Callithrix jacchus: one gene and its partner. The protein of the gene in region 1 purifies or fractionates together with the protein of each later gene. This does not show direct contact. Links are inferred from orthologs where the notes say so. Each region holds a gene or a part of one and is shown on either strand. Other genes may lie near its edges.

Region 1 (15,768 bases):
TCTAGACTGCCTTCAGCAAGAATCCCGTTTGGTCGATTTAGCTGGAATCCCCCCATAGCCCTGATGTTTCCCCCGAACCTCCCGCCACCCCCACCAACTCCTCAGCTGTAAATTCCCACATTTCCTTGTTGTATTTGCAGCAGAGCCTAATTTCTTGCCCCGACTGAATGCAAAACCCCATGTGGCATTCCCTACAGCTATGGCGATAGTCTCCCTGACCAATGTCTGCGTGGCCTCCTTTATCACGTGTCCTGAGCAATTTGTTTCTTTAATAACACGAAGATTCCTGGATCTCTGCATCTCTTTAACATGAAGAACCAGAATCTCAGAGCATGAAGACTTGGCACTGTCATTTTTAACATGATGACTATGACGTATGCTAAAGTTTGAGAACTCCGGTCTGTCAAAATGAAGAGTTGTTGCCACGTGTGGTGGCTCACACCTGTAATCCTAGCACTTTGGGAGAAGGAGGAGGACACCTTGAGACTAGGAGTTTGAAACTAGCTTGGGCAACATAGCGAGATCCCATGTCTACAAAAAATTTTTAAAAAATTGGTGGCTGGGCGCAATGGCTCATGCCTGTAATCCCAGCACTTTGGGAGGCTGAGGCAAATGGATCACCTGAGGTCAGGAGTTCGAGACCAGCCTGACAAATGTGGTGAAACCCCACCTCTACTAAAAATACAAAAATTAGCCAGGCATGGTGGTGTGTGCCTGTAGTCCCAGCTACTCAGGAGGCTGAGGCAGGAGAATCGCTTGAACTTGGGAGGTGGAGGTTGCAGTGAGCCAAGATTGTGCCACTGCACTCCAGTCTGGGCAACAGAAGGGAAACTCTGTCTAAAAAAATAAAAATTAAAATTGGCAGGGTGTAGTAGCACACACCTATAGTGCCAGCTACTCGGGAGGCTAAGGTGGGAGGGTCACCTGAGTTTGGGAGGTTGAGGCTACAGTGAGCTGTGATTGCACCCCTATAGTCTAGCCTGGGCAACAGCAAGATCCCGTCTCAAAAAAAAACTTATGAACAGTCTCTACACACTCAAAATGCCTTTTACTTTTACATACAATATTAGAGCTGCAAGGGCGTGAGTCTTCAAACGTGGACGACAGAAATTGTAATTTGGCTGAGATCACTTGATCAGTGGCCTGACAGACCGGAATCCAAATATCCCTCGGCCACACACCCACATGCACGCTACATTTAACTTGAATCTTTACCCATTATTTCTTATTGTCTATGCAAGGGAGCCACAGACTTTCACACGTGAACATTCACTTCTTCTTGCTCAAAATCAACTGAAATTTAGACAAATCTGAAGAGAAGTGACTTAAATTGGAGTATTTTACCTACGGAAAGTTCTGACATCTTGCCGATAACGATGACATCATAATGAGCACAACAAACATGTTTTGTGAAAAGGTTTCTAAGGGACAGCCCAGTGTCATTTCTAGTCATGGCTGTTTCTCACTGCCCACGTCTCACCAAGGAGGGAGGTTTTTTGAGTTCATTTCAGGTGGTAAGTACTATGTTATTTTCATGGATTAGAGTATTGCTTCCCAAATGCAATTTCGAACTGCATAAGGTTAGATCCTGAGGAATGTGTATGTGTGCGCATGTGTGATAAGCCTTTCCTTGGAAGTATTATCCTTTAACCTGGGATTATGTCCCTACTTCGGGGTTGAGAGGGAAATGATGAGGTTGGAGTTAAAATGTCTTTCTTGGGCCGGGCGTAGTGGCTCAAGCCTGTAATCCCAGCACTTTGGGAGGCCGAGGCGGGTGGATCACGAGGTCAAGAGATCGAGACCATCCTGGTCAACATGCTGAAACCCCGTCTCTACTAAAAATACAAAAAATTAGCTGGGCATGGTGGCACGTGCCTGTAATCCCAGCTACTCGGGAGGCTGAGGCAGGAGAGTTGCCTGAACCCGGGAGGCGGAGGTTGCGGTGAGCCGAGATCGCGCCATTGCACTCCAGCCTGGGTAACAAGAGCGAAATTCCGTCTCAAAAAAAAAAAAAAAAGTCTTTCTTGTTATGAATAATGGGTGATAACTCTAAAAAACGTTACCTGGCAAAAATGAATGATGGATTTTTTTCAAATCCATAAAATGGGAAGTTTGTAAACACAACTAAGTTATCTTATTACTCTGTTCCCACATAGTGAAGCTCATTTTAGCATGAGATCAGTGTTCATACAGCAGAGCACACACCCAACATCCTCGCCCTTAGTTCCACATTTCCACAATGGTCTCTTGCATGCCACTTCATTCTTCTTAGTCTCACCATTTTCATGACCAGATTTGTGGCCCCTCCAACTCAGACAACCTGTTTCTGACCACAGCCTCCATCATTCAGTGCTGGTGTTCCAGTCCTCCCACAACAGCGGATCTTCACGTCCATCAGGGCCTCAGGCCATGGATCACACGTCTTATTCCCTATTAGTCCCTTTTCATTTCTGTCTCCCCAGCTTAGAGTCTGAGTTTACCAATTCAGAAAGTTATTTTGCAGTACCCCAAAATGTGTGCCTCCTCTGCCTTTTTAAAATAAATGTGGGCAAAAGCCCAAAGTGTTACTGGGTAGATTCACACAGCAGCGCAGCCTGGAACACTGCACATTGCTAATGGTTGGTTTCAACTGGGCACCTACACATGGCCCAGCGACCTTTCTAATTTCTGGTCAACTCCCACTCCTGACAATGATTGTTTCAAGCCTCTTCTAGCCCTCGATCTCACTATCATTTCCCTAACTTTTAACAGAGTTCTTGTCTTCTGCTTCACAGAAAATGTAGAAGTTACAGTAAGGGAACTTCCTGCCACAAAAACTACAAATTTAAGTTCATTCACACCCACCCTCTCATACTTTCCCATTTAAAAAAAAAAAAAAAAAAAAAGTTTCTTTGCCTCTTCACACCCCACCCCCGGCTATGCTCGGATTTACTGCCTGGGGCTCTTAGGAACCTTACACTGTCAGTTACCTTTGCCTCTAGTGTCTTCAGTCTTTCTCTTAACTGGATACCCACCATCAGCATTAAACCTCCTCAAATCTTTCTCACTTAAAAACCCCAAATCTTTTAACTCACCTTCCCCTCCAGCTCCAACTTTCTCTTGTGTGGAAGCTGCAGTGTATTTAACCTGTCTCCTTCACAGTTGAGTTGCTGTCATTTTCTAACACCGAAACAATGTTGTGATGAAAAGCTCGTATGTAATTTTGTACACACATAGATGTATGGGTAGGCTGGATTCTAAGAAATGGGACTGCTACTTCAAAGAACAAATAATTTCATAGGTATTGTCAGATTCCCTCCATAGGGAATTTCACCACATTGCACTTCCACCAGTGGGAGAGGATACATTTCCCACATCTTGCCAACAGAGTATGTTCCCAAACTGGGGTTTCTGCCTGTCTGACAGACGACAGATGATACCTTAATGTGCATTTCTCCTATTATGATGCAGATCAAGCTCCTTATTGAATTTCAGGGACATTTGGATTTTCCTTTTTTTTTTTGAGACGGAGTTTCACTCTTGTTACCCAGGCTGGAGTGTGATGGTGTGATCTCAGCTCACCATAACCTCAGCCTCCTGGGTTCAGGCAATTCTCCTGCCTCAGCCTCCTGAGTAGCTGGGATTACAGGCACACGCCACCATGCCCAGCTAATTTTTTGTATTTTTAAGTAGAGACAGGATTTCACCATGTTGACCAGGATGGTCTCGATCTCTTGACCTCGTGATCCACTCGCCTCGGCCTCCCAAAGTGCTGGGATTACAGGCTTGAGCCACCGCGCCTGGCCTTGGATTTTCTTTTTCTGTGAACTGTCTGTTCATGTCCTTGGCTCATTTTCCTGTTGGGTTGCTGGTCTTTTCCTTTGTAGTATGACACTGCTTTACGTAGCAAGGAGACAAGAATAAGCCAGATTTTCCTCAATGCTTTATAGAACCACTGCTTTCTTACGGGCTTAAAGAACTCATTCATGCCACTCTTGATTCCTCGGAAATGAGGTCCCTTTTCCTAATTAGGACAATTTTGTTTCTGATTTAAAAGTAATATATGCTCCTTATGGAAATACTGGAAGAAATTTACAACTACCCACAACCCCACTTTCCTATATTCCTTTTCTAAGCATATGAAGTAAAAAGACAGCAGATTCCTCTGTCAAACTCCCGGTGCCCAGAGGAGGCCATCAGTAAAAATCAACCGCTTGCTGCGTATCTCCTTAGGCTGCTCTTCCCATTAGACACATTTAAAATATACCTCCTTGAAGAAGTTTCAAATTCACAAATATGGTCACATTTAAGGCCTGAGATGTATGGACACAAAGTATCTTCCTGGCACTGTGGTCATTTCAGGGTCAGGACCTTCTGTGAGGACCTGGGAAGCATTAGGGATCTGTCTGCCCCGTTCAGTCACTGCTGCCTCCTCAAAACACCCGGCAAGGGTTCTGGTGCCTCCTCTTTGACTCTTCCAGATCAAGCTTCTGGTGAAAAACACTTTAATTTCCAACTAGTAGCACAACATCAAAAACAACAGAACAAAAAACTCAAAACACATCGGTTATTTTAAGTTTGAATCTATATTTTGAAAAAAAAGGAAAATTTGTACAAAGTTGTCACACAGGAAAACACTTTAAGATATCATTACCTGCTACGTGTATTTACAAAAGTTACAAATTTAGTTAAAAAAAAAAACCCTGTCATTAACAAATGCGAATTCATTTTTTGAGCAACAAGAAATCTCCTGTGAAATGTCAGACTGAAAGCAGGTGAGACTCGGTGTAGTGAGGGCTCAGCACCTGCTGAGTGGGGAGGCCTAGAGTCTGCCTCCCGGGCTGGGTGCGCAGCTCTGGCCTCTGGCTGGAAGCCATCTAGAGTCCTATATGCCACTGTCGTTTTCTTTCAGTAAACAGTATAAAACATTACTATTTTCCTTTGATTGTAAACATCAACAGAATATAACATGCTTAAGAATTTTACTACAAAGAGTGCTAAGAGTTTTATTGTGACTCACCACCTTTACATTTCCATTTCAGAAGTTTCTGATTTGGTTCACTTTCTTACTTGGCAGTGGGGCCCTGGCGGCAACTTCCAGACACACCAGTGTATTAAGAAGCGAGCTGCAGGCCCTTCCTGAAACCATGGTCTATGGTTCTGCCTGCATGGAACAGGCTGTGCTGTGTCTCCGCTCAGGCTCAAACCATCTGCTCTCACGTTACAGACAGCTCATCCCATGCATTGATTGCTTTCCTCACATTCTACTTTTTATTATGTAAGCTGTATTTTCATATGTTCCTATATAATTTATTCACATGATCAGGCTGGTAATCAACAGTTTGGGGTTCTTATACAATAGCTCTTCAGATCTATTGCTGGTATGTGAAGCTCAACTGATTTGCGTAGGGACAAATCAGAAGGTATTTCTGCTGGTGGATCAGCTGCATTGTAGCACCTCACAGTTAAAACTCCACCCCTACAAATGTTATGTTTTAGCCTTGAGAGTCAACCTAGCTTCCTCACACTTTCTCTCACATAAAATACTTAGTGTCTTTCTCAATATTAAACAGCATTATTAATTTTTTTTTACAACAAAGGTGTTTAGGACAAAAATTACAAAACCATTATCCCAGGTAAATGGTTTAAAAAGGCAGTTGACTCACATTTGCATATCAATTCTAAAGAAAAGTTCGCGCTTTTGAGCACGCCCACAGATGACTAAGTTCTTCCACATCATTTCTACAGTGTGACAAAACCAGATTACACAGTCTTAAGTGGGAGGAATATCCTAAAAATTCATGACTTCAATTACTTCTTCACAATTCCTTGAAAATGCGTAGCATAGCATCACTATAACTTGCTAGTCATGGAAGCTACAAATCAACAACCATTGCCTTTCATATTGACTGCACCGGTATCCATTTTTATTTACTTCTAATTCAATTCAGTTGCAACTACCTGATTGTACGTTTGAGGTAGCTTCATAGTGGATCTACCTGATGGAAGGAGTATGTCTCAAAGTACCCTCTGCAGCATGAGAGCAGGTTAAAATGAGAGAGGAAGACAGCAGCAGGTATACTGTCTTCTCACTTGTCATACAAACTAAAAAAAAGCACCAGCCAACCATTTCTTTACTGATAAAAATACAGTTCTTTCGTGAGCATGGAAACAATACATGGAATCTGTTTCTTTGCATGAAAAGTAGCATCAAAGGAAGAGGACTCAAATTCTGTTGCCACCTTTCGGTTAACCCGGGTCAGGATGTGCATGAACTCAAGCTTGTTGGCATACAGCTTCAGCATGGCACAAAGCGACTGGATGAACCAGGAGCCGTCCCTTGAATTTCGCCAGGAATAATAACCTACAAGGCAAAATACAACCAAAATACCATGGATAGTTGATTGTAGTTGATTCTATAAATTATTACGTAGTCAAAAAAGGCAAAAATAAGCACAAACTCATTAACAATACAAAGAAAAAAGACACCTTTGGTTTCAGAAGCAATGATGTGGAAGAAGGAAGAACGTGTGCTATGCACACACTCACACCCCTGCTTTTGGCAAAGAAAGGGACTGCAGACTAGCTTCACGAACACTGAATTATTGCAAGTTTTACATTCTGGACTCCCCTTTCAATAGGCAAGAACAGCAAACACGCAACAGATAAGAGGCAAACGTGGAGCTCTATAAAGAGGATTATAAGTAACAGTGTTCCGATCACATTTCACCTGATTTTAATACTGACTTAGCCAAGAAATAAATTGCTTTGAGTGTCCTATTTGTCTACAGAGCATCTGAATAAAGTATAATACACATATTCCAAAGGTCCAAAAAGGGAAAAGAGTGTATTTATCATACTTTTCTTTTTCAGGTTAACTGTTGGACCCATTGCTTTTAACTTAGAGGTACTTTGCTGAGGAAGAGGCCTAGGGGATAGAGGAAACCACACTGTGCACATATTAAAATGCGACACTGCATAAAAATACATTTAGTTGGCTGGGCACGGTGGCTCATGCCTGTAATCCCAGCACTTTGGAAGGCCGAGGCAAGCAGATCACCTTAGGTCAGAAGTTCGAGACCAGCCTGACCAACATGGAAAAACCCCACCTCTACTAAAAATACAAAATTAGCCAGGTGTGGTGGCACATGCCTGTAATCCCAGTTAGTAAGGAGGCTGAGGCAGGAGAATTGCTTGAACCCAGGAGGCAGAGGTTGCAGTGATATGAGATAGCGGCATTGCACTCCGGCCAGGGCAAGAAGAGCAAAACTCCGTTTCAGAAAACAAAACAAAACAAAACATTTCCCATTTCCTTCAGGTGTCACGCCCTCTGGCACCCTGAGTAGTTGTATAAGTAAATGGTGGCATAATCAACAAATATTTCTTTTTTTTTGAGGAGTTTCGCTCTTGTTACCCAGGCTGGAGTGCAATGGCGCGATCTCGGCTCACTGCAACCTCCGCCTCCTGGGTTCAGGCAATTCTCCTGCCTCAGCCTCCCGAGTAGCTGGGATTACAGGCACGCGCTACCATGCCCAGCTCATTTTTTTTGTATTTTTAGTAGAGACGGGGTTTCACCATGTTGACCAGGATGGCCTCGATCTCTTGACCTCTTGATCCACCCGCCTCAGCCTCCCAAAGTGCTGGGATTACAGGCTTGAGCCCCTGCGCCTGGCCCTCAACAAATATTTCTTTAGATGACGACAGGTACAGCAGAACTGTAAACAGTGGAGATTAGCAGCATATTCATATGTCATTTCTTACCTTCTTTGTTATCTCCCACTCCACATCTATCCTCTCATATACTAGTCATGTTTATCTTTTTTATTTACTACCTTTCAAATAATTCCTGAGAAACATACTTCTCTTCTTCTTTAAAATGCAGGGAAGCTCTGTTTTGGCCTCTGTTGCCATGTAATATTCTACCTGGTAAAAAGTCCAATGAATGACATTGCTCTAGTCTACTCTATGTATGCATATTTTCTTTTCTTTTTTGAGAAGGAGCCTCGCTCTGTCACCCAGGCTGGAGTGCAGTGGCACGATGTTGGCTCACTGCAACCTCTACCTCCCAGGTTCAAGTGTTTCTCCTGCCTCAGCCTCCCGAGTAGCTGGGATTACAGGCACGCGCCACCACACTCTGCTACATTTTTTATATTATTAGTAGAGACAGGGTTTCACATTGTTGGTCAGGCTGGTTTTGAACTCTTGACCTCAAGTGATCCACCCGCCTTGGCCTCCCAAAGCAGTAGAATTACAGGCATGAGCCACTGCACCCAGCTATTTATGCATATTTTCTAGCCAAACTTTTGGCTAAAGACAACTTTTGGAGACTTCTCTTTGATGAAGGTACCCTAAAATATAGACAAGTTTGTATCTTTAGGGATATCAAAATCTTGACAGTCTCTGAAACACACTCTTCACTGTATAATTTTATGATTAGTCACAGTAAAATTCATTTGAAATCCACATGTAACATTCATTATGTGCAAGGTTCTCACCAGGTGCTGTGGAGTATGCATACAAGAAGTCGGCCTCCACTGGTATTTTATGACACGCCATGTCATCATCAACACCGCTGTCCGTCTCAATGCCACAGTCCAGTTCTGTGCCACGGCAGGCCTGGGCATTAGAAAATAAATATTTATTATAAAAATTTGTGTGTGCACATATAACTTATTTCTAAGAAATTGAAACACTATGTAAAAATGGATGTTAATTATGTTGTCTTTTTGATATGTAAGTATAAAATTAAAATTTACTCCGTATCTTTTAAGTGGTAGTTTAAGTAAATGAAAAGTAACGATAGTTTCTTAGCTTCAGGAAAAAAACCACACATCCTTTGGCTAATTTACAATTGAGAAAATTAGCCCCTGATTAATCTTCAATCACCAAATCACTCAGTTACGTTACCTGAATAATGAAAAGTTTGGGTTTTCCAGTTAGACTTCTACAACAATCCCCTCTGAAAAAGCTTGTTATTTTTTTCAGGTCAACAGGTCCATTGGTTCCAAAAATTATTCCTTCTTCACCATGGCTCAGAAGCACACAAACGAAACTGCTCCTTTTGCTGTGATCTTCTTTAGAAACTGAAAAGACATTTGCACATAAAAGGAAAAAAATCCATGACTTCATTCAACAACTTCAGATATACTGTATGGGAACATGATGAAGAGACAGAGTAAAACTAAGAGATCATCTTAACCGAACCTGGGCTCAGCAACGTATCTGAAACTATTTTAGGAAGTGGGCATAAGTAACTTTTTTAAAACTTCTTACTAAAATAGGTAAGATTAGAATTATGTATCATATAATTCCACAATTCTCATATTTTAGAAGTTCACCCTTGTTTCCTACCATTACGCATCAGTTCCACAATCTCTTCGCGTGTGAGATCGTTTTTATTCCTGACTTCATATTTCAAGTTCATGAAAGTTTCCCTGAGGTTTGCTGCATCCACATCTGTACCAGACCGAGATGCCATTCCTTGGAACAGAAAGAAGCGCTTTTAATTATACTGAAAACAAAGAATAACTACTTTGACATGAAATGAGCTACTCAGCAATTCAAAAGTCCACAATAAATTCTTCCTTTCAAATGAAAGAGAATTCTAACTATTTTGATCATGGTGACATAAAATCTCTTCAATTTTGTAGTAAGACACTTGAAACCATAACCTTATTAGTGTTATAGCCAAGATATCTTTCATAGCTGTTTAGGTAGTAAAAAACAGAAACAACGTACATGTCTAACAATAGGGGTTTGGTTAGACACATTATACTCACTTATATAATGCGATATACTATGTTGTCATTTTCAAACATAAAATTTTGCCATGGGGAAATCATCATTGTTTAAAAAAATAAAACTAGAAAACAATACGATCCTATAATACATACATTTATCTATCACACTCAGAAGAACTGCGTTTCTGACTCTAGCTTCCCAACGGTTTGGAGATAGCATTATAACATTCACAGTGTCTTCAAGGAAAACCCCCAAACGTTGTTACTGCTCATCAGATATTCTGCAGTGGGTAATCTTTAATCCTTCCCGTCACCGTAAGAGCTGTATGATTACCGGTTTCACGTGTGCAGATGTGGGACATGCAGTAAAGTTAACAAACTAGCCCAGAGTGACAGAGTGGTGCTGGGCCTCTATCCAGGGCTCCTGGCCTTCCTACCACTCCTTTAAAGAACCTTCCACATTCATGTACAGATTGACTGCATGACGCACTGAGACTTCAAAACGCTGAAATGTTGGTGGGAAACACACCTCAGAATTGAGTAAATTTGAGGTGTATGAAGACTAGATACAAAAAGTCTATACACATCTCCAAAATGTTGTTGATTATCTCAGCTGTGTGACAAGGTCACTGGCTTCTGGTGCTGGTGTGTTGGCTGCCTTTTTAAAAACTTTTTTTGTTTTTTAGACATGGTCATGCTCTGTGGGCCAGAGTACAGTTCACTGCAGCCTCGACCTCCCGGATCCAAGCTGTCTTCCCACCTCAGCCTCCCGAGTAGTCGGGATCACAGTTGCGCACTACCACACCCTGCTAAGATTTTTCTATTTTTTGTAGAGATGGGATTTCCCTGTGTTGCTCAGACTGATCTTGGACTTTGGTGCTCAAGGATCCTCCAGCCTTGGCCTCCCAAAATGTTGGGATTACAGGCATGAGCTATGGTACCTGGCCCAATCCCAGCCTGCCAGAGATCTCATGAGAACCTGACTTTACATTGCAAACTAGGAAAGGAACTCACTGAGGGCAAAACCCAGATTGCTGGTCTAAATACGTGGGGGAGGTGGTGGTGGTAGAGAAATGATATGCCTGTTTTTGGTTTTTTAAACAATGGATCCAAATGCGAAATTCTACAGGAAGAAGGTATCCTAACTAGATAAACGTAAGGCAGAATTATCTAGAACTAAATTTTCACATATGTATAAAGCAAAAGTAAACAAGGTGTTGTGTTTTTTAAGTTTGCGGTTGAAGGCGGCATCTCAACTTGTAGCCGAAAGCAATACAAGTTCCATTTAGAGCTCCATTATCTCATCACTCCTTACAACTAACCTGACACAGGCCCTGCTGTCTTCCCAGTGTAATCTGGCTTCCTTTCATTTCCACCACGACTCTGAAAGGTACTGTCCTAAATTAGATCTACTATAGCTTCTCTAACTAAAAATTAACTCTAATATGATTAATATGCCAATTCAAAGAATTGTCACGGCATCAATTTAAAAGGGAAACAGCCATAAGGGTCATTTATATAGTAAGTTATGCAAATTAAGTGAATGGTGTATTTTGGGGATGCGGTATTATATAATCGTTATAACAGATATAAAAATTATGCAGCAATATAAAAAATGCTATTACTTTAAGTGAAACAAGCAGAATACAACATTGCTTACATGTTATAAATAAAATCAAGCTTTAAAAAAACTGTCAAGTAAAAATATCAATACACCAAATGTTAATTAGCTTTTTTGGCATTGTGAAGGATTTTATTATCTATATTTCTAAAAAATATATAATTCTCAAATGTAGTACCACATTCGAGTACAGAAACCAAGAGGGGGCTCTATCTGGTGGTCAGGCCATGGTATGTTTAAAGAGAGCAGGTCAGTGGTAGAGACAAAATAGAAAAAGACTCTAGAAGGACTGGAACAAGTGAAGAGTACAAGCTTAAACTACATGTTTTCAAAATTTAAGCAAGAAGGGAAGAAGATAAATATCAAAGGAATTAAAAGGAACAGGATAAAAGAAAGATCTTTCTAAGATGGGCAATCTCTGTCAGCTTCGTAGGGTAAGAGAAGACAGGCAATAGAGCCCATGAAGATACAAGGAGGTGAAGCAGAACAGGAGATGCATTCAGAGCTCGGGCTTTGGAGTGACGCAGACTGAGCTCTGCCACCAGGCTACCTGCTCTGACTGTGCAAGGTTTAAAAACCTCTCAGAATGGAATTGTTTCTTTCCGGTTGTCATACAATTAAAGAAGGCAATGCTTGTGATATGTCTTGAAATTTCTGGGGAAAAAATAAATACTACTACTCAACTGTTTTTTGAAAACCTTCCGTTGGAATCAAAGAGGGAGCAGAAAGGCGAAAAAGCAGCAAAGACTGTGGAGAAGTCAGGACAGAAGAAGCATACAGACAGGAAACCAGCTGACGGGAGAGGAGACAGTTCACAGTGTCACAGTGCATCACACGGCCTGAGCGTGCTGCCCGGTCTCTACTTCACAGCTAGTCTGTGTCATAGTTTAATGACTAATAATACCGCAATACTGCTTTCAATATTATAGCAAATGTAAATGGCACAAATATTTAAAAAAGATTAAACATAATGTAAGATACATACCAGTGCTTTTATGAAAGTTCTTATTATTAATTATTAGACATAAACCCATTTCAGGATAATCCATTTTATAACTGCTGTCCAGGGATATACCAGAGTCCACTGATTTGCTTCCATGTATGATCTTTCTGTTTAAAAATCAAATAATAGCTTTACAAAGGTAGAAATGACCATGCTTTCTGTTTACATTAGTGCAATTTCTATAACTCACAGTAACAGTGAACACTTGTTGAGTGCTATAAACCAGACTGTCTCCATTACAATTTCACATCAACACATGTTCCACATGAGCAAATGACCTGCCATGAGGCTAAGAAATGTGCCAAGATTGTGCCACAGCCAAGAAGGAAGGGAAGTATCTGCTGGACTTCCGAGTTCAGGCTTTTAGCTTCCATGTTTTACATTTTCCTCTAAATTCTTAAAAATTTCACCAAATACCTTTATAATTTAAAAATTACTTATCAATTTGTGAAATATTTTATTCTTGGAGGTAAGAGTAAAATCTTAAAAGTTACCCTGAAATGATGGGAAATCAACAAAATGTAAATATAACTCAAAGCACCATATTTATCACAATAGTTTCTTAAATCCCATGAGCTAAACAAATTAGTCATTTATTAATATATAAAAACATTATTGTAAATAATTGAAAATATCTGTAAGTCACTTATCTAAGAAGAACCTCTGCTATCTAGATAAGGGGGGCAGTAAACTTTTTTTTTGAGATGGAGTCTCACTCTGAAGCACAGGCTGGAGTGTGGTGGCGTGATCTCGGCTCACTGCAACCTCCACCTCACGTGTCCAGTTCAAGCAAATCTTCTATCTCAGCCTCCCAAGGAGCTGGGATTACAGGTATGAGCTACCATGCCTGGCTAATTTTTGTATTTTTTAGTAGAGATGGAGTTTCACCATGTTGGCCAGTCTGGTCATGAACTCCTGACCTTGTGATCTGCCCAGCTCGGATTACCAAAGTGCTGGGATTACAGACGTTAGCCATTGTGCCCGGCCAGTAAACTTTTTTTTAAATGGGTTAAATATTAAGTATTTTAGGCTTGTGGGCCATCTGGTCTCTGTTATAGCTACTAAATTCTATTTTCTTTTTTTCCTGAGACATGGTGTAGCTCTGTCGCCCTCGCTGGAGTGCAGTGGTGCCATCATAGCTCACTGCAGCCTTGAACTCTTCCCTTCCTCAGAGTTTCAAGTAGCTAGGACTACAGACAGGCAGTCCCCACCATGCCCAGCTAATTTCTGTATTTTATTTTTGTAGAAACAGGATCCCGCTACATTGCCCAGGCTGGTCTTGAACTCTTGGCCTCAAGTGATCCTCCTGCCTTGGCCTCCCAAAGTGCTGAGATTACAGTTGTGAGCCACTGTACCTGGCCATAGCTATACAATTCTGCTGGTGAAACTGACCTAGGACAATATGTAAGGGAATGGGTGTGCCTATATTCCAATAAAACTTGATAAAAGCAGGCCTCAAGCTTGATCCCTGATCTAGACCAAGAGTCAGGAAAAAACAGGTCTAGGAACAGCCAAATACTAATCCTTACAGTCCATATACCCATGCACTTAACCGTAGAGTATCTCCATTATACACAATTCTAAAAATACTCTTGGAAAAAGATTAAATGTAGTCAATTAAAAGAGTCAAGTTTAGGAAAGAGTTATTATTTTTAACTAGAGGTGAAGAGCCTCACATTTACAGATTAAATTTAAATCCTGAAAGTGTGACTTGACCTTTAAGTCACACAGATAATGGATCATGGAACTATGATTCCCAGATCCTGACACCCGTTTCCTACTCGGTACTTTACAAGCACATGGTAGCTAGTCCAAGAGGAGATGCTCCTGATAAAGGCACTGGCTCAAAAAGCCGGGACTGCCGAGGGCAACTTGTCACAGGATCAAAACAACCCTAACCTATCTGGGGCTCTCTCATAACTTGTTATTGAAGTGATGTTCTGTATGACATGAAAAGGTAGTGCTAGGCAGGGTGGTTCATGCCTGTAATCCCAGCACTTTGGGAGGCCAAGGCGGGTGGATCAAGAGGTCAAGAGATCGAGACCATCCTGGTCAACATGGGAAACCCCGTCTCTACTAAAAATATAAAAAATTAGCTGGGTATGGTGGCGCGTGCCTGTAATCCCAGCTACTCAGGAGGCTGAGACAGGAGAATTGCCTGAACCCAGGAGGCGGAGGTTGCGGTGAGCCGAGATTGTGCCATTGCACTCCAGCCTGGGCAACAAGAGCGAAACTCCGTCTCCAAAAAAATAAAGGACTTTTTAAAAAAAGAGACAGGGTCTTACTCTGTTGCCCAGGCTAGAGTGCAGTGGTGCAATTATAGTTCACTATAACCTCTGGTGCATAGCTACGACGGCCTATAAGCGCACGCACTACGGTGGACTAATTGTTTTTATTTTTTTAGAGACAGGGTCTCATTATGTTGCCCTGGTTGGTTTCAAACTCTCACCTCAAATGATCTTCCTGCCACATCTCCCAAGTAGCTGGGATTATAGGAGCAAGCCCCTACACTGGCTAAAATGATTTAAATCAAGATAACGACTTTCTAAAATGGGATTGCATTTCAAAAGTTTTCTTTCTAGAAAAATTCCTTTGCTAAACAAAAATTGTGAATCTTTACTGGTAACTTGTTAATAGTGTTTCTGTAATAATGTTGTTTAGTAATAAAATTAGTTTGTAATTTCAAGGGCAGCCGAGAATAATAATACTGGGTTTCAGAAATAAACTTTCAGAATTTAAAGTATCATAAGAGTGCCCAAATAAATAATAACAAACATGAATTAAAGAGAATTTGAGTTTTATCTTTTTCCATCTGCTAGTTATTGGAAGCATTTAAGCAGAATATTCCAAAAAGACAAAGGAAAAAAAGGGTAAAATTCATCCATAACTAGGCAATTCCTCCCGGAACTGAAAATTAGCATTGCATTTTAGTCTTAAAAACTCATAAACAAGAGGTCAAAAAACTCTTCCCAAACCCAAAACCTCTAATCCTAATCCTATGGAGTGATTTGGGAGGGGAGAAAGCACCCAGACTTGGGAGTTCTGCCTCTCCTGTGGTATCCTTCTGGTTCCAGAACCATGTTTCTGACCACGGTAATAGGCCTTTCCTTTCATCTTCCCTTCAGTTTTTTGAAAGTTTTAGCTCCATTTTAAAGATGAGGTTGAGAAAAGAAAAGTGAGTTTATGCAAAGCCACACAGCTATCTGAGGCAGGACGTCGGCTTGGTCTCTCCGGCCTGAAACAGAGACCACTCTCGTTCTGAGTGTCCCATTCCTCAAGGTTTGCTGTTCTACAAACCCCCATCTTTCTCTGACTATGAAGAATCCCACTGAAATACTCACAGTTCCGAATTTTTAATGGATTTTGAATCCACTGAGTTTTCAGTGTTCTCCATGGATACCTTTATTAACTAGAATATAAAGAAA
Region 2 (17,301 bases), on another chromosome or scaffold:
GGCCACTGCTTCAAGCACCTCATTTTAATTTTTATTAAAATTTTTTTAATTTGGAAAAGGTGCTTCTTACCAAAAGGCAGCTGCAAAATACAGAAATATAAAATACCTCTGCAACAATTACTTGTTTTTTTCTTAAAGTAAAAGAATGGGTGGGTTCCAAGGTCCTTCATTTTTCTTATTGTTGATTTTATTGTTGCCTATCTTTCTTACTATGAGATTTCTTCATGTGTTTGGAATGTTGGTTTTTAATAGATTCTCAGTTTGCTTTTCCTTCTTTATTTCTCTGATTCTATGTCCACCATTCCTTATTCTCTAGTAGTTTTGCAGTTGCCTTCATCACGCTTCTTACATCTCTCTCCTTCCCAGTTCTAAATGGGATTTTGTAATGATGAATGGGGCTACTGTCCTGCTGTCATATTGGATGCTATCACTGAGCTATAAGATATCACATGTAGGCTGGGTGCAATGGCTCATGCCTGTAATCTCAGCGCCTTGGGAGGCTGAGGCAGGCAGATCATTTGAGATCAGGGGTTCTAGACGAGCCTGGCCAATGTGGTGAAACCCCATATCTACTAAAAATTCAGAAAAATTAGCCAAGCCTGGTGGCGGGTGCCTATAATCCCAGTTACTGGGAGGCTGAGGCAGGAGAATCGCTTGAACCCGGGAGGCAGAGGTTGCAGTGAGCTGAGATTGTGCCATTGTCCTCCAGACTGGGAAACTGAACAAGATTCTGTCTCAGAAAAAAAAAAAGATATCATGTGTAAATTCTGAATCAGGAGGCTATATCTTGGTCTTTCCACCTCACTAAGCCCAGTTTCTATTCAACTATAACCCCAGAAGGCAGATGGACAGGATTTTTCTGTCTTTCTTTTACAAGTGGGAAAATCCCACCACAGCCACTGGCTGTCATGATCCAATTGTTTCTTCTGTCTTAGGTTGAGCACTTTTAGTCCCTTTACCTGTAGGAGTTGAACTCATCAGCTGCCACTGTCTTTTATCTAGAGTCTAATAGACCCATCCTCCTAAATTTTATTTATTTAAATATTTTATAATTTAATTTGTCGGTATTATCATTTATCTTTTCTACTTTAAAAATTCTACCATTGCTGTGTGTTTACAGCCGCGGGATTGCATCAGATATGAGCTTACTGCTCTATCTTGTCAAGAAATCCACCTCCCATTTCCTCTTTGACCCACCAGTTTCCTAAAAGTGTTTCTATGACGGTGAAAGTTTTACCAAATCTAGTGGATACTTCAGCTCATATGTTACTTTTAGATTTTGCATTTGATAGTCCACTTGACCACCCACCTTTTACTTCTTGAAATCTTATTCCCTTGGTTTCTGTGACATTGTGCTAAACGTGTTTTTCTCTCATTTCTCTGATTATTACTAGGTCTCTTTTATGAGCTTACTTTTCTCTGCCAATCCCTTAAGTTTGCATTTCCAGTGATTCTGTGGCTCGCCCTTTTGCTCCTCTTTTTCTACCCCCCGGTGATACTATCCTATGCCTTTAACTCCTATCTATATGATTCCAAATTTTAAACCTACACTTCTATCCCAAATACATCTCCAGAACACTGGATATAAATATCCAACTATCTATTGAATATCTCCATTTGAATTCCCGAAGACCTCTTTTCTTCATAAATTCCACAGTCTCAGGTAGTTCTTTACAGCAATGTGAGAATGGACTAATATAGTGTTCAGTAAATGTTAGCTAATATTAAAAAATAAAACAAATGCTATTTAGAATTGCCTCCATAAACTTCTGGCATAATTCAGATATAGGGAATGAAGTAGAATCCTGGATGAGCTAGCTATATAGCTAAAAAAACCCTTCAAATGTACTGTACTAGAATAGTCCTATGCTAAAATATTAGTATAAAATAATATATAAAATATTAGCTGTGCATAGCCACAGCAAAGGGTGTGGTGTAGAAAGAATAACAATGAAAACCAGTCTAACTTAGACACTTATGGTAATAAACAAAAACATGTAATCCTGCACATGTTTGAAACACATTTCATTCTCTAATAGTCAAAGTTGTGATTTATTTAAAACCAAGGCAATCATTGCTTTGGAATTGGTAATTCACTAAAATGATTAAAATTGACACATGGCTTCCAGGCATTCGGTTATTTTGTACTATCTAATTCAGCCTTTATAATATCAGATGTTTTTGCTTGCTAGTAACAGAAAACCCACATCAAAATAGATTATTAAACAAAAACAAGACATAATCAGTCAGCCTGAAGTAGGGAAACTCTAGAGTTGGCTAATTCAGCAATTCATTGACCCATTAAGGACCTGAGATTATTGTCTTTGTGCTCAGCCTATTGTGAATGCCCCGCTCATGTTTTCAAAATGGCTACAGTAATCCAGGCATCACATTCTCATGCTCCAACATCCAGAGCAAGAAAAAAAAGAGATCTCTCTCTCTCTCTGAATCCTTTAGAAACTTGCTCTTAGTTTAGAAACTTTTTCTAGAAGCATCTCCAACAGACTTCCCTCCTGTCTCATTTGCCATAATTGAGTCATAGCACTTTCAAGATTAATCTTGAAAATCAAGAAGAGAATTTTCCTGCTTCTTTGGACTAATCAAGATAGACGTCCTGTGGCTGGAGCTTGAGTTCACGTCTCTGAAGGACATGGCTAGGAAGAATATGGTGTATACATAAACCGATTTGGGGTACTGTTGGCAAGGCTGAAGGTGTTAAATAGCTGTTGGTTAGGCACCAACAGAGTCTGCTACAGAGCCACGAACATTGACTGTAAACTTCTGGCTAGATCACAGCATTTCAGACTATTAGGGAATTGTTTTTTAAGAGAAAGCATTTTGAACCTGTATAGATTTGCGATTTGTATCATCCTACCTCCACACCCTGTACCATGAATTTTTTTATTGTTAAGTTTTAAGTTTGTGTATTTATTTTTTGTTTTACTTAGTATAGTCAATTTTTCATTTTAGTCATTCTAATAGGGGCTCAGTGGTATCTCACTGTGACCTTTTTTGTCCTTCATTTTGTCACATAGGTAAGCATGTGTCATGGGGTCTGTTATACAGATTGTTTCATAACCCAGGTATTAAGCCTAGTATCCATTAGGTATTTTTCCCAATTCTTGCCCTTCTCTCACCCTCTGATAGGCCCCCGTATGTGTTGTTTCCCTCTATGCCATAAAAACATTTGGAGCAATTGTTTCATACAGAATGTTTCAAAACCCTGGTCAGTCCCCCAAACTGACTCATTTCTGATTTTGCAAGAAGTGAAAAATTAGCTGGAAGCTGCTAAAGAAAAAATAAGAGTTGTCAGTAAACATTTACACCAGATCACCTGCAGCAGTGCTGTTTATCAAGTGAATCAGAAGTTGGTCCAGACCCACAGAAGTGAAATGGAGGGTTGCTTTTTGTTGGGGGGGGGGGGGGATTTTTTTTTGTACAGTGGTATGTCTTTAAGCTAAATAATAGAACCACTTATTGATCAGTTATTAATTGTAATTCTAAAACTTAAGTATTATGTGAATTGGATATTTCCTGGCCTTAGGTTAGTAGGTGTTGGCTAGATAATTTAGACTAGGGATCCCCAACCCCCAGGCCATAGAGACCATCGGGAACCATGGCTGTGGCCTATTAGGAACCAGGCTGCACAGTAGGTGGTGAGTGAACCTGAGCTCTGCCTCCTCTCAGATCAATGGTGGCGTTAAATTCTCATATGAGCAGAATCCTACTGCGAACTGCACATGTGAGAGATCTAGGTTGTGCATTCCTTATGAGAATCTAATGTTTGAATCATCCTGAAACTATCCTCTGCTCCCCTGGGGCCACAGAAAAATTGTCTTCCCCAAAACCAGTCCCTGGTGCCAAAAAGGTTGGGGGCCACTGATTTAGACTATAGCTCAGAGCTTGTTAGGTTATAATCACCCAAGTCCTATTTATTGCCCCTGTAAATCAGCTGAAGGCAATGTTTAGCAATAGGAAAATGTCAAACAATATTAGGGTCACCATGTCCTCTCTGGCGATGTAATTAATTTCAGAGATGCAGTAAGGGCTTTTAAATAGCGTTATCCAGAGTTCATTCAGATTTGCTCCAGTCCTTTAAACTAAGGGCTAAAATCAAAGAGGACAGAGAGAAAGTAACTAATATTCCTTGAACTCTGCCAGGGGCTTTTTCTGCTGCTTCTCCTTAATTTACTTCCTATAATAGCTCTGCACAACTCAGTAACCCATGTTATAAATGGAAAACCTGAAGACCGGAAAGGTTAAGCAACTTGCCTAAATTTATACCATTAGTAAATGGTGGAGCCAGTCATTCTGACTCTAAAATCCCTGGCGTCCTCTAAATCATAATGCAATCATAAATGGATCTGTGGCATTTGTACATTTATTTAAAAGTGTATGGAATATTCAAACACAAGACAGTTATCTCTTGCTGAATGATATTTTATTAGCTTGATAATTTGGGCCTGCCCTTAGCATTAATAAGCTTCAGCACTAGTCAAAACTTTCATTCACTGGTGGGGAAACTTTCTTGTTTTAAAAAATGCAATTCGAGAAAGGGCATCTATTTCTTGGGAGCTGCAGTGACAGCAGGCTTCTCTTCACGGGTGATGGGAATGGTGCGCTCTGGGCCAGAGACCTGTTTCCTTGGTCCATTCACAGTGAGGACCCCATCAGATGACAGGGATGAAGTAATGGCAAGAGGGTCCACATCAGCTGGGACCCGATATTTCCTGTGGAACTCCCTGGAGATGAAACCATGTTCATCCTAACCCAAGAGAATGAGGAAAGAGGCAGAGAAATAAAAACAGGAAATATTATCACCTGCCCAGAACTCAAGCATCCCGATTTCCCCTTAGGTGAGACCAGATGCCATGACAACATAGGAAGAATAAATAATTCTTTGTTTCAGGTTTGGAGTTAAGATGAAGTTGCCTAGGTAGAGTCATTCCTACCAGTGAGAATCTGAGAAGTCTGAAACAGCCCAATACATCATTGTTTTTCAAACCCAGAGGCATAGACATGTTTAGGGGTATTTCCCAAAGGTTTAGATCAAATTCTGTTGGCTGGGCCTACAGAATTTGGAATCTCATTTAGAATCTGAGTCCCTGAGGAAACCCGGAAATTGTCCTGACTCTTCAGGAATGTCCCAGAATGTTCCAGAACAATAGGACTGCTGCAAAAAAAAAAAAAGAAGAAGAAGAAGAAAAATGACTCCATCCAAGGAGACTATAACCCAAACCTAAATCATATGAGCAAAATGGAAACAGCTCGAGGACGTTACTAAGGACAAACTGTACTAGTTGATGCACAGGTTCTGAGCTATCATTAATTGGTAAGAAACAATTTTAAAGCCCTCTCACAAAGTCATGAGAAGCTGTTCCATTCGTCAGAATTCCCACAAAGGGTAGGTGACCTTTACCCGTATGCCTGCCGACTCTCAAGCATGTAACCAAACAGGCTCTCATTAACTGATTTCCACATAGGCTACAGGGGGACTGAAGACTGAAATTTAGACAAACCAAGTGGTTCAGCATTAAGATGGACTAAAGATGAAACGTGGATTCTTGCACAAGTAAAGAGAAGTCACAACTCAAGAGCCTTCAGGGTACATGTAGTTAATGTAATTATGCAAAGCAACTAGGTGTCTTACAACCCTAACCCTAAATCGGTGGTTCTCAACCTTGACTGTAGATTAGAATCACCTTAAAAAATGCTGATGTCTGGGTCCCATCCCTAAAAATTCTGACTGAATTGGTCTGGGGTATGCCTGAGCATTAGGATTTTTGAAAGTTCCCCTGGTGATTCTAATGTGGCCGAGATTCAGAACCACTGGCCTTGATGGGGCATCAGCATCCCATCTAAGGTGATCAAATAAAACAAAAGCCGCATCTCTGGCCATAACAACAGTCATGACAGCAGTAGGTCTCTCCCTAACTTAGTCTTCCAGACATTGATTTGTAAGCCCTGATCCAGACCGTTATGGCTTGGGACTGGAATGTAGCCAGCCTCCGAAGCTGAGAGCTCTACTGAGACTATTACAGTATGCACTGAATGAATGAGCAGAAAACAAAAACCAAAAACAAGCTACATACCTGGCGCTCTTCATGTTTGCCATGCACCTCAATCACATCTCCCAGCACCTTAACTTTGAGTTCCTCTGGGGAGAAGTGCTTCACATCCAGGTTGACAGAGAACCTGTCCTTCTCCAGGCGCATCTAAAAATAGCAAGGTAAGAGAATGGGGTTGGAAAAAGATGGCAAAAATACTAATTATACTGGTGCTGTCTTACCATTCTGCAGAGTTGCTTTCTGTCCAGGTAATTCATCCTTCTTTTTTCTGCTTAAAGAAAATCGCCTTTTTAAATAAACACGGCTCTCTGCTTCAGGGAGCCACCATAGTGATACCTAAGGCTCGTGGTGATCAGACCTAAACTTTATTTCCAGGGACAGAGAAGAAGACAGATCACCCAGGGGACCAGTCACAAAGATGGGTGCAGGCCTGGCATCTGCTGCCTCTCTGACTCCAATGCCTGGCTTTGTGGTTTGTCTGTGAGACAAAGGCCTTTCTTCTTCTTGCTCAGGTCTCTTTGCCAGTTTTCCACCCACCCAATCTGGAATGTTCTGCTGGTCCTGCTTGTCCTTCCAAAGCCCTTGCCCACTCAGGTCCTGTTTACTCACACTCAAATATTTTTAAACCAGAGTGTTATCTGTAACAGCTTCGGTCAACCTTATTTGTTCACCCTTTTCTCCCACCCTCTCAGGACAAGTGGGGGATCCCAAGACTAGACCTATATTGTTTCCTCATAAGGCTTGGTTGGACCCAGGCCAGTGCTCTGTCACAGCCTTAAGGGACCCAGAAAATCCTAGAAGAAGGAATAGAAAGGCAGAAAATAGTGGTGGTTGGCCCCAGCTCCACCCAGTGGGGATGAACAGCTCAGGATGAGGCAGGGCTCTCTCCTGGCTCTGAAACCTGAGATGGTAAAATTGGTCAAGAGTCTGAGGTGTTAGAAGAGATGAGTAAAGGAGTTCGAAGGCAGCTCTTTCCCTGCAGATCGTTATGAACCAAACTAGAAAGGGGTATCCTGCAGAGAGAAGTTAGGGGACAGAGGATGAACTCGACGGTGCATAGAAAAATGTAATAAATGGGATACAGAGGACCATCAAATAGAAATAGCTGACAGGGGAGGAAGGCACTAGCAACCTCATTTTTCTTCACTTTTGGACACACATGTGCCTAAAATTGTTTAGGCAGGGAAGGAAAGAAAAATGGATGGAGAAGTTTCCAGGATGTTCCAGTAAGGACTCTCCCATCCTGGGAGGGGAAGACTCACCTCTGAGAGTCCAGTGTCAAACCAGCTTGGTGCCCGCAGGAAAGAGGGTGGCCGAAGGTAGAAGGGGCTCAGGGAAGTAGATGTTGGGAAAAGATCAGACTCCAACAGGTGCTCTCCGAAGAACTGGTCAAAGAGGCGGCTGGGGGAGTGGAAAGGAAAGAAGGGGCGGCGGATCCAGGGGTGGTGGATGGCGATGTCCATGGTGGCTAGGTGAGTGTTGGGGGTCAGCTGGCTGGTCAGCTCCTTCAGCTGCAGCTACAGCCAGCCCCTTATATATGCGGTCTTGTGAAGCTTCTGGAATGGTGATGTCAGGGGTTTTATTATCCTAGCTCACTGCCGGTTCATGGAGACTTGTGATCGGGGATTTGGCAGTGTGACACATACCCAGTACTCACTGAGCTAAGAAAAGAGAAACACAAACACGTCTGAGCTGGCCAGTGACTTGTCATGGTCTTGTTTCACTAGCTTTCTGTCCACACCCAATGGGCACCCACCCCCACCCCTGTTCTCTGAAGCTGGGACAGAGTCAGGAATCCCAAGCAGGCATAGGGGGGTGTGCCCCTCCTCCTCCTCTCCAGTCCTGCATGCCAAGGGAATCAGGCCAGCAACTATCTTGGGCCTGGGCAGGGACTGGAATCTTCCTAGGCTGGGCCCCAGGGACATTAACTCTTTGTGAGTCCTTAGAAGAGAGCAGTGATGGTCAACATGTCAGTACCAGCCATCTGCCTCGTGCCCTGGGTTGACCTGGGTTCAGGGGAGGACCCTGACATCTGGGCAGAAAGACCTCACCCCTGAAGAAAGAGCAAAAGACTTCTTGCATCTTTCATCCTATGTGGCTCTCAGAACATTAATTAAATCCAGGAGAGCTTTAGGAATTTATTGGGTGCACAGTGCCTGCCACTGAGGAGGAGGAAATGTGCTGTGGAAACGTGGAAACCGTTCGTGAGGGTCTCAGCAAGGCCTCTTCATGTCCTAGACACCACTAGCTCCCCCTCCCCAGCTTGTTCCCAGCCAGGACCTTCAGCTGTCCTCTCAGACCCCCTGCAACAGCTGAAGTGTTCGGGGGAGGGGACTAGGGGTCCGGGCGGCACTGGTTACACCCTGTTGCTCTCACTGAGGGCCCCCACTCCCCACCCCTCCCCCGCAGAGGCACGGCACTATTTTGGGTGGTGTCGACCCCGCCCCCACCTCCTATTGAGCCCTAGCTCTCCCGGCAGCTGGAGGGGTCGCGCTGCGTCTGTTGGGGCTGCACCTCGGACCAGGGCTTCCGCTGCTTCTGCAGCCATGTCGGGCCGCTCAGTGCCACATGCCCACCCAGCCACCGCCGAGTACGAATTTGCCAACCCGAGTCGCCTGGGTGAGCAGCGCTTTGGAGAAGGTATGGCACAGACGCCACCCCCTTGCCTCCCACCCTCCCGAAATTCTGGGCTGACCTCCCAGCGTTACTGGCTTCCACCCCACTCGGCTTAACTGATCTCCTGAAGCCAGTCATCCCCCACCCCAGACTTCCCCTCATCCCCTCCAAGCAGGGCTCTTTCCCATTCCTGCTGACCTCAAGACAGACTTGGTGCCTGCAGTGCTGATACCTGCCCTTTGCTGCCTTAGTGTGCCTCCTTGTCCCCCTTCTATCCACCCAGGCCCAGTTTGGTGCCTCCTCCTCCTCTCCCTCCTCCCCTTCCTTTTCCTCCTTTTCCTTTCCTCTTTCCCCTCTTCCCAGCTACCTTCTCCTCCTAGCTACTGTGTGGCCTCCCTCCGGTTCCCTTCCCTGCTCCTCCTGACTCCCCTCCTGCTCTTCCCAATCCCCCCTCTCCAGATTTCCCATTTCGCCCCTGTGCCCACCTCATCCTCCCTCATCCTGCCTCTTGCCTTCTCTCTGCCCCCTAGGCCTCCTGCCGGAAGAGATCCTGACCCCCACACTCTACCATGGCTACTATGTCCGGCCTCGCGCTGCCCCAGCTGGGGAGGGTAGCAGGGCAGGGGCCTCCGAGCTTAGGCTCAGTGAGGGCAAGTTCCAGGCATTTCTGGATGTGAGCCACTTTACCCCAGACGAGGTAACTGTGAGGACTGTAGATAACCTGCTGGAGGTGTCTGCCCGGCACCCCCAGCGCTTGGACCGCCACGGCTTCGTGTCCCGAGAGTTCTGCCGCACCTATGTCCTGCCTGCTGACGTAGACCCCTGGCGGGTCCGAGCTGCTCTCTCCCATGATGGCATCTTAAACCTGGAAGCGCCTCGGGGTGGCCGACATTTGGACACAGAGGTCAACGAGGTCTACATCTCCCTGCTCCCTGCGCCTCCTGATCCAGAGGAAGAGGAGGAGGCAGCCATAGTTGAGCCCTGATTGCCACAGACCAGCACCAGCAAATCCCTCTTTACCTCCCACGGTGATATGGGCAGCTGCCCACCACTCCAGAGGTAGCAGCATCCTTGGGGGAAGGGAAAGGTGCATGGTCCACAATGTATGGTTTGGTCCCATGGGACATGTCCTAGCCTTGGTTTAGTTTTGGGTGGAGGTGAATAAACCCAAATCTCAGGGCCTTGTTTGTGCTGCTCCCTACTCTGTGGCTGGGAAGATGGGAAGGGGAGGGAGGGAGGAGGTCACAGCCAACGAGACAAAAAGCTCCTCAGTTTGATGTACCAAACGTCATAGCACCCTGAGCTCGCACTTGGATGCTGAGATCACACCCGGAAGCTGACTCTGGCTCCAGATCAAATTCCCAGCCATAATTTTCTCACAATGCAACAAAAGAGAGAGTGATCCTGGGAGGGAAAAGGGATATGCCATCCAAACAGTCCAGAGGGCACTGTCTGAGCTGGTGATTAGAGACACAAAAACAAGGGTCTCCAGACTGTCTGGGCCTTTTTGGGTAGGGGCTGGGAAAATGGTTTTTGGCTGGTGAGAGTTGCCTGAAGCCCTGGAGTAAATACTTTGTTTTCATTTACTCAGGTCTGTCCACTGAAATGGTCACTGATTTCAAGAGCCTGAGTACGCATACACTGGGGCACAGACACAGAAGCCTCTTCCATTATCATGGAACTCCATTACCTTCGCATCCTCTGGGGGGTATAATGTATTTAGGAAAGCCTGAGGGTCTGTCCCCTCAGTTATTCTCTGCAATAAAGAGAACATGCAGGTACACAATTTGGGGGTATTCAAAAGAACTTCCTGCCTCCAAATACGTATTTTATCAGGCTGTAATAGATACCTATAATTCTTCCATTAAAGTAGTTGTTCTTTGGCTGCGTGCAGTGGCTCACTCCCGTAATCCCAGTACTTTGGGTGGTCAAGGCGGGAGGATCACTTGAGCCCAAGAGTTGGAGATCAGCCTGGGTAACAGAGTGAAACCTTGTCTCTACAGAAAATGAAAATTATCCAGGTCTGGTGGTGCATGCCTGTAGTCCCAGCTACTCTGGAGGCTGAGGTGGGAGGATGAGCCAGGGAGCTAGAAGCTGCAGTGAGCTGAGATCATGTTACTGCACTCCAGCCTGGGTGACAGAGTGAGATCCTGCCTCAAAAAAATTCAGTTCAATTCAATTAAAATAAAGTAGTTGTTTCTTAAATTTTTGGGGTTATAGACACATCTGAAAATCTGAAGAAAGCTATAGCTGCTCTTACGAGGAAAATACACATGCTCCGAAATTTGGCAATACAATTTGAATAGGTTCCCACAACTCTTGAGACCCATTCATATACCCCTCTTAGGAATCTGTGGAACTCCAGGATAACGGACCTCATTTGAGGAATTTGATTTTTGGTTAAAAGATTGCTGTCTATTAAAAATGAAAGCATGCCCCAGAGAAATAACTTTTGACATATTTAATTGTTCATTCATTCAATAAATATTTATCAAACCTCACATAATACACCATGGGGGATATACACTGTGAATATAAATTATAAAAACTATTAGCTTTTATTGTCAACTTTCTGGAATCCAGTTGAGAAGAAAAAGAATCAGAAAAGATTCTACTTAAACTTCAACCTGAATAGCTTCACACTGATACGTTTTGCAATTGAGCTTTATTTAAGGGAAAGGGTTTCTTAGCTAGAAAAAAATGGAAAACTTCTGATTTAGTCCAAATCCCCACTCCATTCAAATTCTTTTAAAGTTATTAATCAACTTCTTCTGGGACATTCTGAATGACAGACTACTTAGAACTTCCTATAGTAGCCTGTTTCACATTCTTTCTTTTCTTTTTTAGACAGGGTCTCATTCTGTTGCTCAGGCCGAAGTGCAGTGGCATGATCATGGCTCACTACAGCCTCAACCTCCCTTGCTCAAGCAATCCTCCCACCTCGGCCTCCTGAGTAGCTGGGACTACAGGTGTGTGCCACTATACCCAGCTAATATTTGCTTTTTGTAGAGACAAGGTCTCACTTTGTTGTCCAGGTTTTCTTGAACTCCTGGACTCAATCAATCCTCAAGCCTTGGCCTGCCACAGTGCTGGGATTACAGATGTGAGCCATTGCAACTGGCCCTTCATTTTTTTTTGGGGGGGGGGGACTTAACTGACTTAACTATTATAAATTCTTCCTTTTGTTGAATCAAAATCTACATTTCTCTAACTTCTCTGGAAAACAGATGCAATTGTTTTTCTCACTTGAAAGTCCTTCTGATATTTAAAGATAAACCATGGTGTCTTCCTGAGGCTTCCCTTTCCCAGCTGTGTCTAGTTTTGTCTTTCGCTTTTATTTTGTTGTTTTGTTTTTTGTTTGCACATGCACCCAGGCTGAGTATGCAGTGGTGTCATCTCCCCTCACTGCCACCTCCTCCTCCCAGGCTCAAGCAGTCCCCTTACCCCCACCTCCTGAGTAGCTGACACTACAGGCACATGCCACCACACCTGGATAATTTTTTGTAGAGACTGGATTTCACCATGTTGCCCAGGCTAGTCTTGAACTTCTGGCCTCAAGCAATCTGCCCCCCTCAGCCTCCCAACATATTGGGGTTACAGGTAAGCCACCACACTCGGCCATGTCTTGTTCTTTCAACCATATCATATAGCACTTTCCACATTACATATTACCCAGATAACTTTATTTTTAACATAGTGTCTTTTGACAACATAACTTTAAATTTAACATCTAGACCTAAAATTATTATTTCAGTCATGAACTGACTAGAATAGACTTCAGCGGAATAATCAATATTCTCATCACTTTGGTTTTCTATTAATGCTGCTTTAGGCATATCAGGTTTTCTGGCTACCACAATGGTCTATTGCTCTATTGATTCCTTTGGAGTTTCTGGTCATCTAAAAATCTCTTAGGTGATTTCCTTTTTTTAGAGGCAGAGTCTCACTCTGTTGACCAGGTTGGGGTGCAATGGCGTGGTCACAGCTCACTGCAGCCTCAACCTCTCTTGCTCAATAATCCTCCCACCTCAGCCTTCTGAGTAGCTGGGACTACAGGCATGCATCACCATACTTGGCTAATTTTTTAGTTTTTATATTTTGTAGAGATGATGGATTGTTGTTATATTGCCCAGGCTGATCTTGAACTCCTGGGCTCAAGTGATCCTCCTGCCTCAGTCTCCCAAAGCACTGGAATTACAGGCATGAGCCAAGCCACTGTGTAAACCCAGATGCTTATGTGCTTTTAAAAACATTACAGAAGTGGTGGCTAAAAAAGAACGAGATTGTGGAGGGCTTTTTGAGTGCCAGGCTAAGCAGCTTGAACTCTATCCTATAGGTGATAGGAAATCATTAATGGCTTTTAAACTGGGAGGAGAAGGAGTGGATGAAAATGATACAGTTAAGAGTACAGAATGGATTGCATAGAAGAAGTATGGCTACAAGATAGTGCAATGATTAGGGCACAAGAAAAAAAAAGTAAAATATAGGAACGAGGCACAGTGGAAGGGTCACTTGAGGCCAGAAGTTCAAGACCAACAAGGGCAACACAGAAAGACCCTATCTTGGCCAGTCGTGGTGGCTCACACCTGTTGTAATCTCAGCACTTCAGGAGACTGAGATGGGAGGATTGCTTGAGGCCAGGAGTTCGAGACCAGCCTGGTCCACATAGCGAGACCCCATCTCACATTAGTGAAAAAGAAATAAAAACACCCTATCTCTAAAAAGTTTTTTTTAATTAGCTAGGCACAGTGGTGTGAACCTGTAGTCCCAGCTACTTGGGAGGCTGAAGCGGGAGAATCTCTTGAGCCTAGGAGTTTGAGGGTGCAGTGAGCTAGCCACTGAACTCCAGCCTGGGTGACAGATTGAGACCCTGTCTTAGAAAAAAAAAAAAAAAGGCCAGGCATGGTGGCTCACGCCTGTAATCCCAGTACTTTGGGAGGCTGAGGCGGGTGGATTACCTGAGGTCAGGAGTTCGAGACCAGTCTGACCAACATGGTGAAATCCTGTCTCAATTTAAAAAAAAAAAGGAAAGAAAGAAAATAAGATGCTTTGTAATAATAACAATACTTAACTCTTACTGAGCATGTTCCATATGCCAGGCCCTGCAGTAGAGCTTTATTTTACAACACAATCCTGTAAGATTGTCACTCTCATCCCCATGTTTCATAAGAGGAGTTCAAAGTCCAGGGTACTCTCTGTGGAGTGCAGAGCTGAGTGGTGGGACCTAAACATCCACTTAAAGAACACACAAATAACCAGGTATCCGAGGAAAACACTAAAAATGGGGTGAGACAACTGAAAACAAGAATGATAGGTTTCACAGATTCTCCTAGAGCCCATATTTTCTACTGGTGAGTGTGGGGTGAGTCTAACTTTGGGTAACTGGAAGGAGAAACAGAGTTGAAGGGTAAGTGGAGAATCAGTAGTTCCGAACTGTGGATAGGGGAGTGAGTGGTTAAGAAGTGCTGAGGCCATTCGGATCACAGAATCATCTGATTTTATACCAGAAAGGGGATTAGATTCAGTTCTTTCATTTTACAGCCCTAGGAACTTAGGCCCAATAAAGGTTAAGTGATTTGCCCACATCAATTTCAAATAGCAAGGGAGAATATATGAGGAACCCATTTCCCTAAACTTCAGTTTCCAAGAGACTCCAGTATACCAACCCAGATTCTGGACAAAGATGATAAAAAACTGGTACCAATTACCTCTAAAGTTGAAACTCAGTTAAACCTGGGTGGTACTGTGCAAGCTCCTATATAAGACACTCATCTGTTATAGAGGATATATTTCAAAGACAGAATGATGTAGCAGAGAAGCATTTCCTGAGGAAAACCAAGAGCCCTTTTCTATCTTAGGTTTCTTTTTATTGAATCTTGAAGCTCAAGTTCATGGCTTCATCAAAAGATGCTTCGAATCCTGAAGTTAGCTCTCACCAGGAGCCCGTGTGTTGTTCTACCCTTTGGCTGGGAACACAGTCACCTGGGAATCATTCCAGCAGGTGGCTTCTGAAGTCCAACCTGCTAGGTTGAAATCTGACACTGACACACACTCCAGGAGCTGCTGGCGGAAAGCTCAACCAGGAACCAGGAAATGCACAAGCCTCTTGATGCATAAAAACAGCTGGGCTCCCTTGGAGACGGAGTGCCATGGGAAACCGGGTCTGCTGCGGGGGAAGCTGGTGAGTAGGGTGGAAGGGCAGAGGGAAACATCTATCTCTGTTGGTGGATGTGGAGACCCTGAAAATCAGAGCACCTGGAGATAGTTGTCTGCCAGCCTCCCACTGCCACCTTCCTCTGGCTGGAACCTCCTGGTTCCAACACCAGAGCAGCACCTCCTTTTAGGAGATCTTAGAAAACAGAGCCAAGAGGCCGGGCACGGTGGCTCACACCTGTAATCCCAGCACTTTGGGAGGCCGAGGCGGGTGGATCTCGAGGTCAGGAGATTGAGATCATCCTGGCTGATGTGGTGAAACCCCGTCTCTACTAAAAATACAAACATTAGCTGGGTATGGTGGCTCGTGCCTGTAGTCCCAGCTACTCGGGAGCCTAAGGCAGGAGAATCACTTGAACCCTGGAGGCGGAGGTTGCAGTGAGCCAAGATCGTGCCACTGCACTCCAGCCTGGTGACGGAGTGAGACTCCATCTCAAATAAAAAAAAAAAAAAGAAAACAGAGCCAAGCTAGCTGTCTGAGGAATGGCCAGAGCAGGGCAGGAATATTGAACTGGCACTGTTTTTCTGGGTTCTCTTCTCCTTTCCCTTCTCTACTTTCCCTTCTTCCCCAGATGAGAGTAATAATTATAGCATTTGAGAGCTTTCTATGTGCCAGGCATTTTACAGTCTTATTTAATTTTTCCAACACTTTATGAGGTAAGTGGTTTTCCCCTCCTCCTGTTTTACAGTCAGCTGAGAAATTGAGGTTCAGAGAAGTTAACTAACTTACCTAAGGTCACATGGCTGTAAGCAAGAAAACCAAGATTCCAGCTGACTTCAGAGCCCAGCTTTTGAACCACTGCATAATATTGCCTCCCAGATCAAACAAGTCAACTTTGAAGCAATGTTTATTTAAAAGAGCAGAAGTGGCCAGGCGTGGTAGCTTGTGCCAGTAATCCCAGCACTTTGGGAGGCCAAAGTGAGAAGATCACAAGGTCAGGAGTTCAAGATCAGCCTGGCCAATATGGTGAAACCCCATCTCTACCAAAAATACAAAAAAAAAAAAAAAAAAAAAAAAGATTAGCCAGGTGTGGTGGAGGGATCTGTAGTCCCAGCTACTTGAGAGGTTGAGGCAGGAGAATTGCTTGAACCCGGGAGGTAGAGGTTGCAGTGGGCCAAGATTGTGCCACTGCACTTCAGCATGGGGGACAGAGCAAGAAAAAATTAGCTAGGCATGGTGGTGTGTGCTTGTAATCCCAGTTATTTGTAAGCCTGAGGCAGTAGGATAGCTTAAGCCCTTGAGTCAAGGTTGTAGTGAACCAAGATCACACCACTGCATTCTAGTCTGGGTGACAGAATGACACCGTCTCAAAAATAAAAACAAAAGGGAAGAAGTAGGAAAAAGAAGGATACCCATGGGAAGTCTGAATATGACTTTCAAACTTATTTGCTACGTGACTATATGCAGTAAGTCCCTTAATTTCTCTGTATCTTTTCATGTAAAATACAGATAATACATCCTACGTTGTGTAGATCACAGGCTTATTTTGAAGAGCAAAGGATACAGTGTATGTGAAAATCTCCTAATAAATTATCTGTGGCACTGTTACTGTTCTTTCCCAAAATTTTCATCACTGCCATAAATTCCTGGTTTTGGTTTTATCCTGTCTACTGCCTTCCATGCCTGGGGCAGATCTTGAGATGTCATGTTTTAGATAAAGCGTCATTATATTTACATAGACAAATGAGATGCATTGGAAAACACAGGTTTTGGAGTAGTACATTGGATTCAAGTCCTACTCTACTTACTCATTCATTTATGCGTTCATTTATTAAGCAATATCTGTTGAACATGTACTATAGGCACAGTGATAGACACAGAAGACATATTAATAAAAGGACATTTGGTCCTGGGCCTTGTTGAGTAAGAAATACCCTGAAGGTCCAACATTTTTTAATTGACTAAATAAATGGCATATCCAGTTGACAGAAAATATGTAGCCACTTCAAAAAAGAATGTTGGAAGAACACCTAACATCATGGAAAATTGACTCTTTTTTCTTTTTTTGAGATGGAGTTTCGCTCTTGTTGCCCAGGCTGGTGTACAATGGTGCGATCTCAGCTCACCGCAACCTCTGTCTCTTGGGTTTGAGCGATTCTCCTGCCTGAGCTTCCCAGTCTCCCAAGTAGCTGGGATTACAGGCATGTGCCACCACGCCCAGCTAATTTTGTATTTTTTGTAGAGATGGGGTTTCTCCATGTTGGCCAGGCTGATCTTGAACTCCTGACCTCAGGTCATCCGCCTGTCTCAGCCACATGCTGGGATAACAGGCTTGAGCCATCGCACCCCAACTTTAATTTTACTCTTTATTAAGTTAGTAAAAAGGGCCTTAGTTGACCCATCTGTAAAATGGGAACAGAAATATGTTTCCTAGAATGTCAAGATTGAAAAAATAAAGCACCC

Evidence for each region.
Region 2: the proteins of CASP3 (region 1) and CRYAB purify together in Homo sapiens (affinity purification with western blotting; 3 studies listed by BioGRID). This does not show direct contact. The link is inferred for Callithrix jacchus from reciprocal best matches to the Homo sapiens genes CASP3 and CRYAB.

The regions. Positions count from the first base shown.
Region 1 is NC_133504.1:6,752,027-6,767,794, reverse strand, and holds the end of CASP3 (caspase-3), read right to left. Parts: intron 15,753-15,768; coding exon 15,685-15,752; intron 12,451-15,684; coding exon 12,326-12,450; intron 9,460-12,325; coding exon 9,331-9,459; intron 9,063-9,330; coding exon 8,887-9,062; intron 8,596-8,886; coding exon 8,475-8,595; intron 6,344-8,474; coding exon 6,114-6,343; 3' UTR 4,550-6,113; downstream 1-4,549. UniProt on the Homo sapiens protein: Thiol protease that acts as a major effector caspase involved in the execution phase of apoptosis. Following cleavage and activation by initiator caspases (CASP8, CASP9 and/or CASP10), mediates execution of apoptosis by catalyzing cleavage of many proteins.
Region 2 is NC_133511.1:11,612,183-11,629,483, forward strand, and holds CRYAB (alpha-crystallin B chain), read right to left. Parts: upstream 7,578-17,301; 5' UTR 7,532-7,577; coding exon 7,331-7,531; intron 6,460-7,330; exon of another isoform or gene 6,326-6,459; coding exon of another isoform or gene 6,290-6,325; intron 6,216-6,289; coding exon 6,093-6,215; intron 4,766-6,092; coding exon 4,562-4,765; 3' UTR 4,425-4,561; downstream 1-4,424. Other genes in the region: uncharacterized protein LOC118145697, read right to left, coding at 7,672-7,729; HSPB2 (heat shock protein beta-2), read left to right, coding at 8,615-8,708, 9,215-9,669; C10H11orf52 (uncharacterized protein C11orf52 homolog), read left to right, coding at 14,834-14,865. UniProt on the Homo sapiens protein: May contribute to the transparency and refractive index of the lens. Has chaperone-like activity, preventing aggregation of various proteins under a wide range of stress conditions.